Linked DNA regions of Arabidopsis thaliana. The protein of the gene in region 1 binds, or shares a complex with, the protein of each later gene. Each region holds a gene or a part of one and is shown in the gene's direction. Other genes may lie near its edges. The genes, in order: AT2G22425 and AT2G39960.

The links.
Region 2: AT2G22425 (region 1) and AT2G39960 share a complex: the UniProt entries of both Arabidopsis thaliana proteins name them as parts of the signal peptidase complex.

What each region holds. Positions count from the first base shown.
Region 1 is NC_003071.7:9,512,890-9,516,321, forward strand, and holds AT2G22425 (Microsomal signal peptidase 12 kDa subunit (SPC12)), read left to right. Parts: upstream 1-1,805; 5' UTR 1,806-2,099; intron 2,100-2,183; 5' UTR 2,184-2,189; coding exon 2,190-2,468; 3' UTR 2,469-2,785; downstream 2,786-3,432. Other genes in the region: AT2G22420 (Peroxidase superfamily protein), read left to right, coding at 452-655, 739-930, 1,002-1,595. UniProt on the Arabidopsis thaliana protein: Component of the signal peptidase complex (SPC) which catalyzes the cleavage of N-terminal signal sequences from nascent proteins as they are translocated into the lumen of the endoplasmic reticulum. Dispensable for SPC enzymatic activity.
Region 2 is NC_003071.7:16,680,730-16,685,675, reverse strand, and holds AT2G39960 (Microsomal signal peptidase 25 kDa subunit (SPC25)), read left to right. Parts: upstream 1-1,957; 5' UTR 1,958-2,184; coding exon 2,185-2,286; intron 2,287-2,357; coding exon 2,358-2,509; intron 2,510-2,768; coding exon 2,769-2,850; intron 2,851-3,680; coding exon 3,681-3,823; intron 3,824-3,910; coding exon 3,911-4,010; 3' UTR 4,011-4,380; downstream 4,381-4,946. Other genes in the region: PXN (Mitochondrial substrate carrier family protein), read left to right, coding at 1-36, 432-486, 663-770, 913-981, 1,077-1,178, 1,271-1,394, 1,478-1,650. UniProt on the Arabidopsis thaliana protein: Component of the signal peptidase complex (SPC) which catalyzes the cleavage of N-terminal signal sequences from nascent proteins as they are translocated into the lumen of the endoplasmic reticulum.

The sequences.
Region 1 (3,432 bases):
TTTTAACAATTACGTACAAAAGTTTCACACCTTTATAAAAAAAATTTGATCAATTATCCTTTTATCTTCTTTATTTTTGCCAGCTAATATACACTGCAATAATCCAAACTTAACAAACATTTAACATTACTTCAGATTCATCATTCAATAATTTCACAAACCCATAATTTTACCAAATTACTACACTAATCCCCCATTGGCACCAATTCTATAATTAGAAAATTTATTTCTTTATTTATTTATTTATTTATTTCTATTTATTAAAGAAATAAATTATAGAAATTGGAATGCCCACCACCACCAGAGACCACACTTGCACAAATTCCATCTATAAACACAAAAGCCTTTAGTATCATTCTCGAAAACCACCAAAAACCTCTTTATAACCCAACAAACAAAGTCTCTACTTCTTCTTCAATCACTGAAACACAACACCAAAAAAGAAAAAAGTATGTCTCTTCTTCCCCATCTCATCCTCTACCTAACACTTTTGACGGTGGTTGTTACTGGAGAAACTCTCCGACCAAGATTCTACAGCGAGACATGCCCTGAAGCTGAATCCATAGTAAGAAGAGAAATGAAGAAAGCAATGATCAAAGAAGCAAGAAGCGTCGCTTCCGTCATGCGTTTCCAATTTCACGACTGTTTCGTCAATGTAAACACTATAAATCTTTCTCTCTGTTCTTGATCTTTACTCTGTTTTCCTCTCTGAATTTTTCTTTGAATCATCAAATTCAGGGATGTGACGCATCTCTGTTGCTTGACGACACACCAAACATGCTTGGTGAAAAACTATCACTTTCCAACATCGATTCACTAAGATCTTTCGAAGTCGTTGACGACATTAAAGAAGCTCTAGAGAAAGCTTGTCCAGCTACTGTTTCTTGTGCCGATATCGTTATCATGGCCGCTCGTGACGCCGTTGCTCTTGTAAGTCAAAATTCAATTTCCCCGGTTTAGTGAAATCTCGGTTTTGTAATTTTGGTCTTTGAAAAAACCAGACAGGAGGACCAGATTGGGAAGTGAAGCTAGGGAGGAAAGACAGTTTAACAGCGAGTCAGCAAGATTCCGACGATATAATGCCAAGTCCAAGAGCCAACGCAACTTTCTTGATTGATCTCTTCGAAAGATTCAATCTTTCTGTAAAAGACATGGTTGCTTTATCAGGGTCACACTCAATAGGTCAAGGTCGGTGTTTTTCAATCATGTTCAGACTTTATAACCAATCCGGTTCTGGTAAACCGGATCCAGCTCTTGAACCGAGTTACCGTAAGAAGCTTGATAAGCTTTGTCCTTTGGGTGGAGATGAGAATGTGACTGGAGATCTAGATGCAACACCTCAGGTTTTTGATAATCAGTATTTCAAAGACTTGGTTTCAGGGAGAGGGTTTCTTAACTCTGATCAGACTTTGTACACGAATCTAGTGACGAGAGAGTATGTGAAGATGTTTAGTGAGGATCAAGATGAGTTCTTTAGGGCTTTTGCAGAAGGCATGGTGAAGTTGGGTGATTTGCAATCTGGGAGACCTGGTGAGATTAGGTTTAATTGTAGAGTTGTTAATAGAAGGCCTATTGATGTATTGCTTGTATCTTGAATTATCATTAGTAAAGAGAAGAAATCTTAATTATGACTTCTAAATTGATGCAAATCTTTTTAGCTACATGCCATGGATCTTGGTTCTCCAAAACTTTGATTTTGGTTTATGAATACTGGTCACTGCTAAAGCTACAATCTGGTCACACCAGTCTATAAAATAGTAAACATTATCTAATCACTGAAGTTGTTGTCCCAATAAACAAATTATGGACTGGACAAGTAGCAACATTCTAATTCTGAGGTACACACAAAGAAACTTAAATGTAAATATTCCTTGTTTCAAGGTTTCAGAATTTGCACATATACAAAATCTCGAAATAATTAAGGCACATTAAAAACCGCCGGTTCACCCGGTTATAGAGTAATCTGACCGTCCACTTTATCCGGTTTACTTTTAAACCGATTTTGTGGTCTTAGCTCATAAATGTCAAGAGTCCTTTCTTTTCTTCCCCATTGTTGAAAATCAGGTTTACAGATTCAGTGAGAGATCAGATCGCTAAAGGTTTGTGCAATTAGGGTTCTCAGATTCTCTCTTTTGTTTAACTTTGGATTCAAATCGCTAATGGTTTTTGATTTCGTTGTGTAGAAGAAAATGGATTGGCAAGGACAGAAACTGGTGGAGCAGCTGATGCAGATCTTACTGGTGATCTCCGGCGTTGTAGCGGTGGTTGTTGGCTACACAACGGAATCGTTCAGGACGATGATGCTGATCTATGCCGGTGGTGTTGTTCTCACGACTTTGGTTACTGTACCTAATTGGCCTTTCTACAATCTTCATCCTCTCAAATGGTTAGATCCGAGCGAAGCCGAGAAGCATCCCAAACCAGAAGTTGTCAGTGTTGCTTCGAAGAAGAAATTCTCTAAGAAATAGGTCTGATTCTGAATCTCTCTCTCTCTCTCTCTCTCTCTCTCTCTCAGAATTGTTTGTATGAGATATTTGTGGATCGGAATCTTAATTATGAATTGAATATTCTGGGTTGATTCTTATAATTATCTGTTTTTGCCAAAGGAATTTGCTTTTGAATCAATGGCTATGGCTGTAATCTGGCAATTTCACTGAATTGTGTAGATTATCTATCATCAGAGAGTTTTAGATGAAAAAGTCTTATGAATCACAAAAGTCTCAGTTTTTATGAAAATGGTACATAAATATCACACCATCCATTTACACTCTGTGTTAAGCTTGTGTGCAAAAACCAATGCTAGTCTTTGATGCTTTGCTCCTTCTTATTTTCTTGAGTCGAAGTAGAAATAGTTTGTGTGATTCCAAACTGTTCCGCTAGTCGCTGGTCAGAGGATTTGCACGGGTTCATATTCCGGGAGATTCGAGTCATCTGGCGAACGCGAACGCTTAAAGGTAGGTCATAGGCTTATGAAACGAAATGACAGTTGAATCAGCGAACGCGTACAGGTTTGGAATCAGAATTTGAGAGAACCAACATTTGGCAGGATGCTTGTAAATGAGCTGTGGAGAAAAAGGAGTGGTTTAGTTAGGTCAGCATTAGGAAGAAGCAGAGGATATGAAAAGTATACCTTCACCAGAAGGATGAAGCAAATTCACAAACAAAGAGAGAGCTCTCCGGAAGTAGCAATAGCCAAAATCTACATGGTATCGCAAAAAAAATACATCATGTGGATAAACAATAGAGGAAAATTCAGTGATTGTAAGAAACTAGTCAACTCTAGAGACAAAATCAAATACAAGGTATATATGACAAACGTATATCTTGAATGCTCGGCTAGTGTCATTACCAATGTGGTCAAGAAAAGAGGTTTCTGTGTGAATTGGGTAAAAGGTTGTGAACCTGAAAAACCATACAATAAGCATATTACTC
Region 2 (4,946 bases), 7.2 Mb from region 1:
GATGTTTGCTTCACTTTTAGTGGCTGCCTTTGCCGGGTACAATAGAATTTCGTTATGTAAATTTGTTTTATATGCTAGTTTTTGGTCTGTTACAATACGGATTAGAGATTACCATTAGTTAGGAATGCTATACAGAATTTCAAAATAGCTCTTAGGTGCTTCAGTTTTTCTCATAAACTTCACATTGGCTGTGGGTGAAGGCTCGCCACGGTCACATTTCTAATGCTATCATCTATGCTATTATACTGTTACTTGTCTAGTGGAGCTTCTAGGTGGATGGTCTTAACTTTTCCTGTCAGGTCCTACTGTCATAGCTGTTTTCTTCTTTGATTGTAAACTTTGGTCGCATGTATAGTTCATTATTGTAATTTGTTTTTTTTCCATTGTTTCCGTTGGCTCATGTGAATTTTGATAACACTCTCACTGTGCAGATCGGTTAATGTTCTTATGACGAATCCGATTTGGGTGATTGTTACGCGTATGCAGGTATAAATGGCTTCATATACACTAGTACCGTAAAGTGCTTCTTACGCTGTCCAGTCAATTTCAATTACATTTTCTTTGGTCCGTGGTAGTTTTAGTTTTGCGTTTGAGCATGAATCTATGGATTTTCTCTCCTCACTTTTATTTCTCCTCTTGATTTTTTGAATACTTGTATGCAGACCCACAGAAAAATGACAAAAGATCAAACAGCGGCCCCCGAGTCACCTTCTTCTAATGCAGAAGCTCTGGTTGCTGTTGAGCCGCGTCCATATGGGACCTTTAATACGGTATGAGGCAGCTTCCCGTATTTAAAAACTAGAAGAAGCTGGCTAGGGTCATATACTCATATCAATTATTATGAGTCAAATCAAACTCTATAAACCTCTCAATTAAGACAGTTTCTGTGATATTTGTTGAACAATGTCTCAGATTCGAGAGGTTTACGATGAAGCTGGAATAACTGGCTTCTGGAAAGGTGTAATTCCAACATTGATCATGGTACGTGAGCTTATGATTTTGAAGCTTCTCTTGTATTGTTTGTCTAGGTGCATTTTATTAATAATTAGATGTGTGTGTGTGTTTTTAACCCACAGGTAAGTAATCCGTCAATGCAATTTATGTTGTACGAGACAATGCTAACCAAGCTGAAGAAAAAGCGTGCCTTGAAGGGTAGCAACAACGTTACCGCTTTGGAGGTTCAGACTCTAGCATTTTGCTTTCGTTTTTTTTGAATAAGATGTTTACTTGCTTTCCAACTTCCCATGATTGTGCTTTCTATTTTCCACAGACATTTCTTCTCGGAGCTGTGGCGAAACTCGGAGCTACAGTCACAACTTACCCTCTCTTGGTTGTAAAGTCGCGACTTCAAGCCAAACAGGTCACAACAGGGGACAAAAGACAACAATACAAAGGTTTTCCCTCTTATCATGAAATGGCCAAAATAACTCATTTGTCAGTTAAAGCTAAGAGTTGCTGTGTTGGTTTTGAATTACAGGAACATTGGACGCGATTCTGAAAATGATTCGATATGAAGGGCTTTACGGGTTTTATAAAGGGATGAGCACAAAGATTGTGCAGAGCGTTTTAGCTGCTGCGGTTCTGTTCATGATCAAGGAAGAGCTTGTCAAGGGAGCTAAGCTGTTGCTCTCAAACGCTACCTCTAGCTAAGTCAAGTCCAAGCCTTCTTGAATGAACGCTAGTAGTTAGAAATAAATAAAAATAGATTAAATTTCCAATAGTTTTCTTGATTAATTATTACACTATTGGGATTGTTGTTCATTTCCTGATGATTGCAATTGATTATTGTAATTTCTGCAAGATTCTTTAGTAATGAAATCTGAATAAAGTTTGGCAGATTTCCTTTGTTCTTTCTTCAATAGAAAGAAATCTTCAGCATTTAAGTTTATAATAGTCAAATAAGGGTTTAATTAGTTGACAAAAAAGGTTTAGATGTGTCATTAGTTGACTTGACTACATTAAGCCCAGCAAGGCCCAATAAATTTCATCCATCAAAACGACATCATAATAAACGAGTTTTGACTGAAACGTCTTCTAGCTCCATCCAATATATCGTCTTCTTCCTCCTCGAACCAAAAACATCAGTCTCTCCTAGTCTCAGCGCTCGTGAAAATCTGAAACTCTGCGTTCGAATTTTCGAAGAACATTAGAGATCTGGTATTATCTGGATCCGATCTGTTCACCATGGAGGAGAAGAAGACAGAATCAACCAACAAGAATGTTAAGAAGGCCAATCTATTGGACCACCACTCGATCAAGCACATCCTTGACGAATCCGTCTCCGATGTAAGAATTTTCTAAGATTTTCCTTGTTCGTTGCTCCATATTTCTCTGATATGTGAATCTATGATTCGTAGATCGTTACGAGCCGTGGCTATAAGGAGGATGTGAGATTGAGCAACCTCAAACTGATTTTGGGAACGATTATCATCGTTGTTGCTCTTGTTGCTCAATTCTACAACAAGAAATTCCCTGAGAACAGGGATTTTTTGATTGGATGCATCGCATTATATCCTTTTTTCTCGAATTCAATTGATACTTTCTGCTTTCTGCTTGACTCTCATTTGGTTGGTTTCCAGTGGCTAAGATGAAATTTAAGAAAATTGAGATTAGAGAACTTGTAATGTGGCTCGAATTCTTTGTGCTTAGTTAGCATTAGATTTTGGAAAACCTTCTTGTATCTAAAGTATGACTATAGAAGCTGATCGATATATGTCTTGTATTTGGATAATTCTGAAGAAGATGTTTGGTCCTTGACTATATGACACGTATGTAGTGTTGAATGCGGTGTTGCAGCTGATTCTGTACACTAAGGAGAAGAATGCGATTTTGTTCACCTATCCTCCTGAGGTTTGGTCTCTGACTATTTAGAAAAGTTATTTCATTGAGAAGTTTCGTGGTTTGGGCTACATTCTTGTTTTGTCTATGATGCTACAATTGTATTGTATTTCTGTGATTTAGGTGCATAATGTACCTTTTTTCCTTGTTCACTTACTTTTAACTGGAGCTATAGTTTGAATTCTGGTGTCAAACTTTTGCATTCCTTTTGTTTTGTATTTTGTTTCTGCTTGCCTGACATGTTATGTAAAGTTTGCAACTTTGCATATCTTAAGGCATCTTTTTTTTTTTTTTTTTTTTTCATTTGAGCTCTAGGCAAAACTACATTTCCCTTTCAATGTATTGTTCAATTAGTTTTAGTCTTCAAACTTTAGATTTTGAAAAATAGTTGAACAAAAGTTTTTGATGTTTGCAATCGTTTCTGTCTTGTTTCTCGAAACATAATTGTTCAACTAAGTGGAGGATTCTGGACTGTAACTTGGGTGGTTTATTTCTCATTCTTACCAGCTTGAAGAAATTACTCCTCTCATTTAGTTAGTATCCGAGACGATGAGATTTTTTTTTCCAAACATTTCATTCTGTACTCGTTTAGTTAGCTCTAGGAAACATAACAAAAAGAGCTCAGACATTTTGTCTTTCTGAAGCCATGTTAAATTGATGCAATAATTTGGTTAGTGGGATTGCTTCATTTTGTTATGTCAAGACTCAAGATCCTAAAGCTCTCTGGTTGATATATATTTGCTCACTCTCATTTGTTTTGCTACTGTTCAAACATGTATGTTTAGCTCATCATTTGGTGCTCCTCTTTGGAAAAATCTTAAAATCTGATGGTTGATACGCAGGGATCATTCACCAGCACTGGTTTGGTGGTATCTTCAAAGTTGCCCAGATTCTCTGATCAGTACACTCTCACCATCGACAGTGCTGATCCAAAATCAATCTCAGCTGGGAAGTCAGTTCAGCTCACCAAAAGTGTCACCCAATGGTCTCTCTCTCGGCATCTTTCTTACAATTGCTCGCTCTGTTTTCCTTACATGAGTCTCATTAGATGGTTTCTCTGTGTGTTTTTCAGGTTCACGAAAGATGGAGTTCTTGTTGAGGGTTTATTCTGGAAAGACGTAGAAGCACTAATCAAGAACTATGCAGAAGAAGAACCAAAGAAGAAGAAATGATCATCTTCCAGAGAAATATATGCTTTTGAAACTCCATATGTTGGCGTTTTAGAATACTAAATCGATGGTGACTTTGTTTAGAGATGAAACTAATATTTGGATTTTTCCTTATAGCCAACTTTTTGAATTAATCCGAGATTTTATGATCACTATTTAGAAAAGAATAAAAAGCTTTACCTAAGTTAGTAAGCCAATGGCTCACATCAAGTATATGCTTGTCGTTTAGTTATTTGTACTAGATCATACATAAAAAAAAGGTCAAATGCTTCACGAATTGTGGATGATTTGATTCGTAATATTTTGTATGATTGATGATAAAACACCTACATATGATATGAGTGGCTTGGATGACTCTAGTCTCTTTTTAGACAGCCTTTTCTTTCTCGTATGGCTTGGGAAAGTTCATTTGGTGATTGTAGTTGGTTGGAGTCGCCTTTTTTTAGCACTTTTTGATTAGAAAATTTTCCATTTTCCGTTATAAAAAATTCCACAGCTTAACAAGAGATGGGTCTCTATGATTTTGCAAAAGTATTGAATAACTTTCTTGATGTAAGATGACAATCCAAATTTGGATATACAATTTTAAACATATAAAACTCCAAATAAAATAATGTAAAGAATTGTGTTTTAAAAGATACCATAATTTTTGTTTTTCCTGCTTTTCATAGTTCTAAATTCTAATCATAGCAGCGGTCAAAAAAAAAAAAAATTAATATAAAAATTTATAATAAAATAAATCTCTAAAAATATGGAAGCTATTAAACCAATTTTCGTTTGAAAAAACTTTCTCCTCGTATTAACATAACGTAGTGGAATTTTAAAATATTCCAAATCACATGCTATAATCCATACATTTTTTATCCATTCATTGGCCACAAAATACAACCTGTCCATCGCCGAAGATCAATTTCAACGAAAGAAAAATATAGGTTTGCA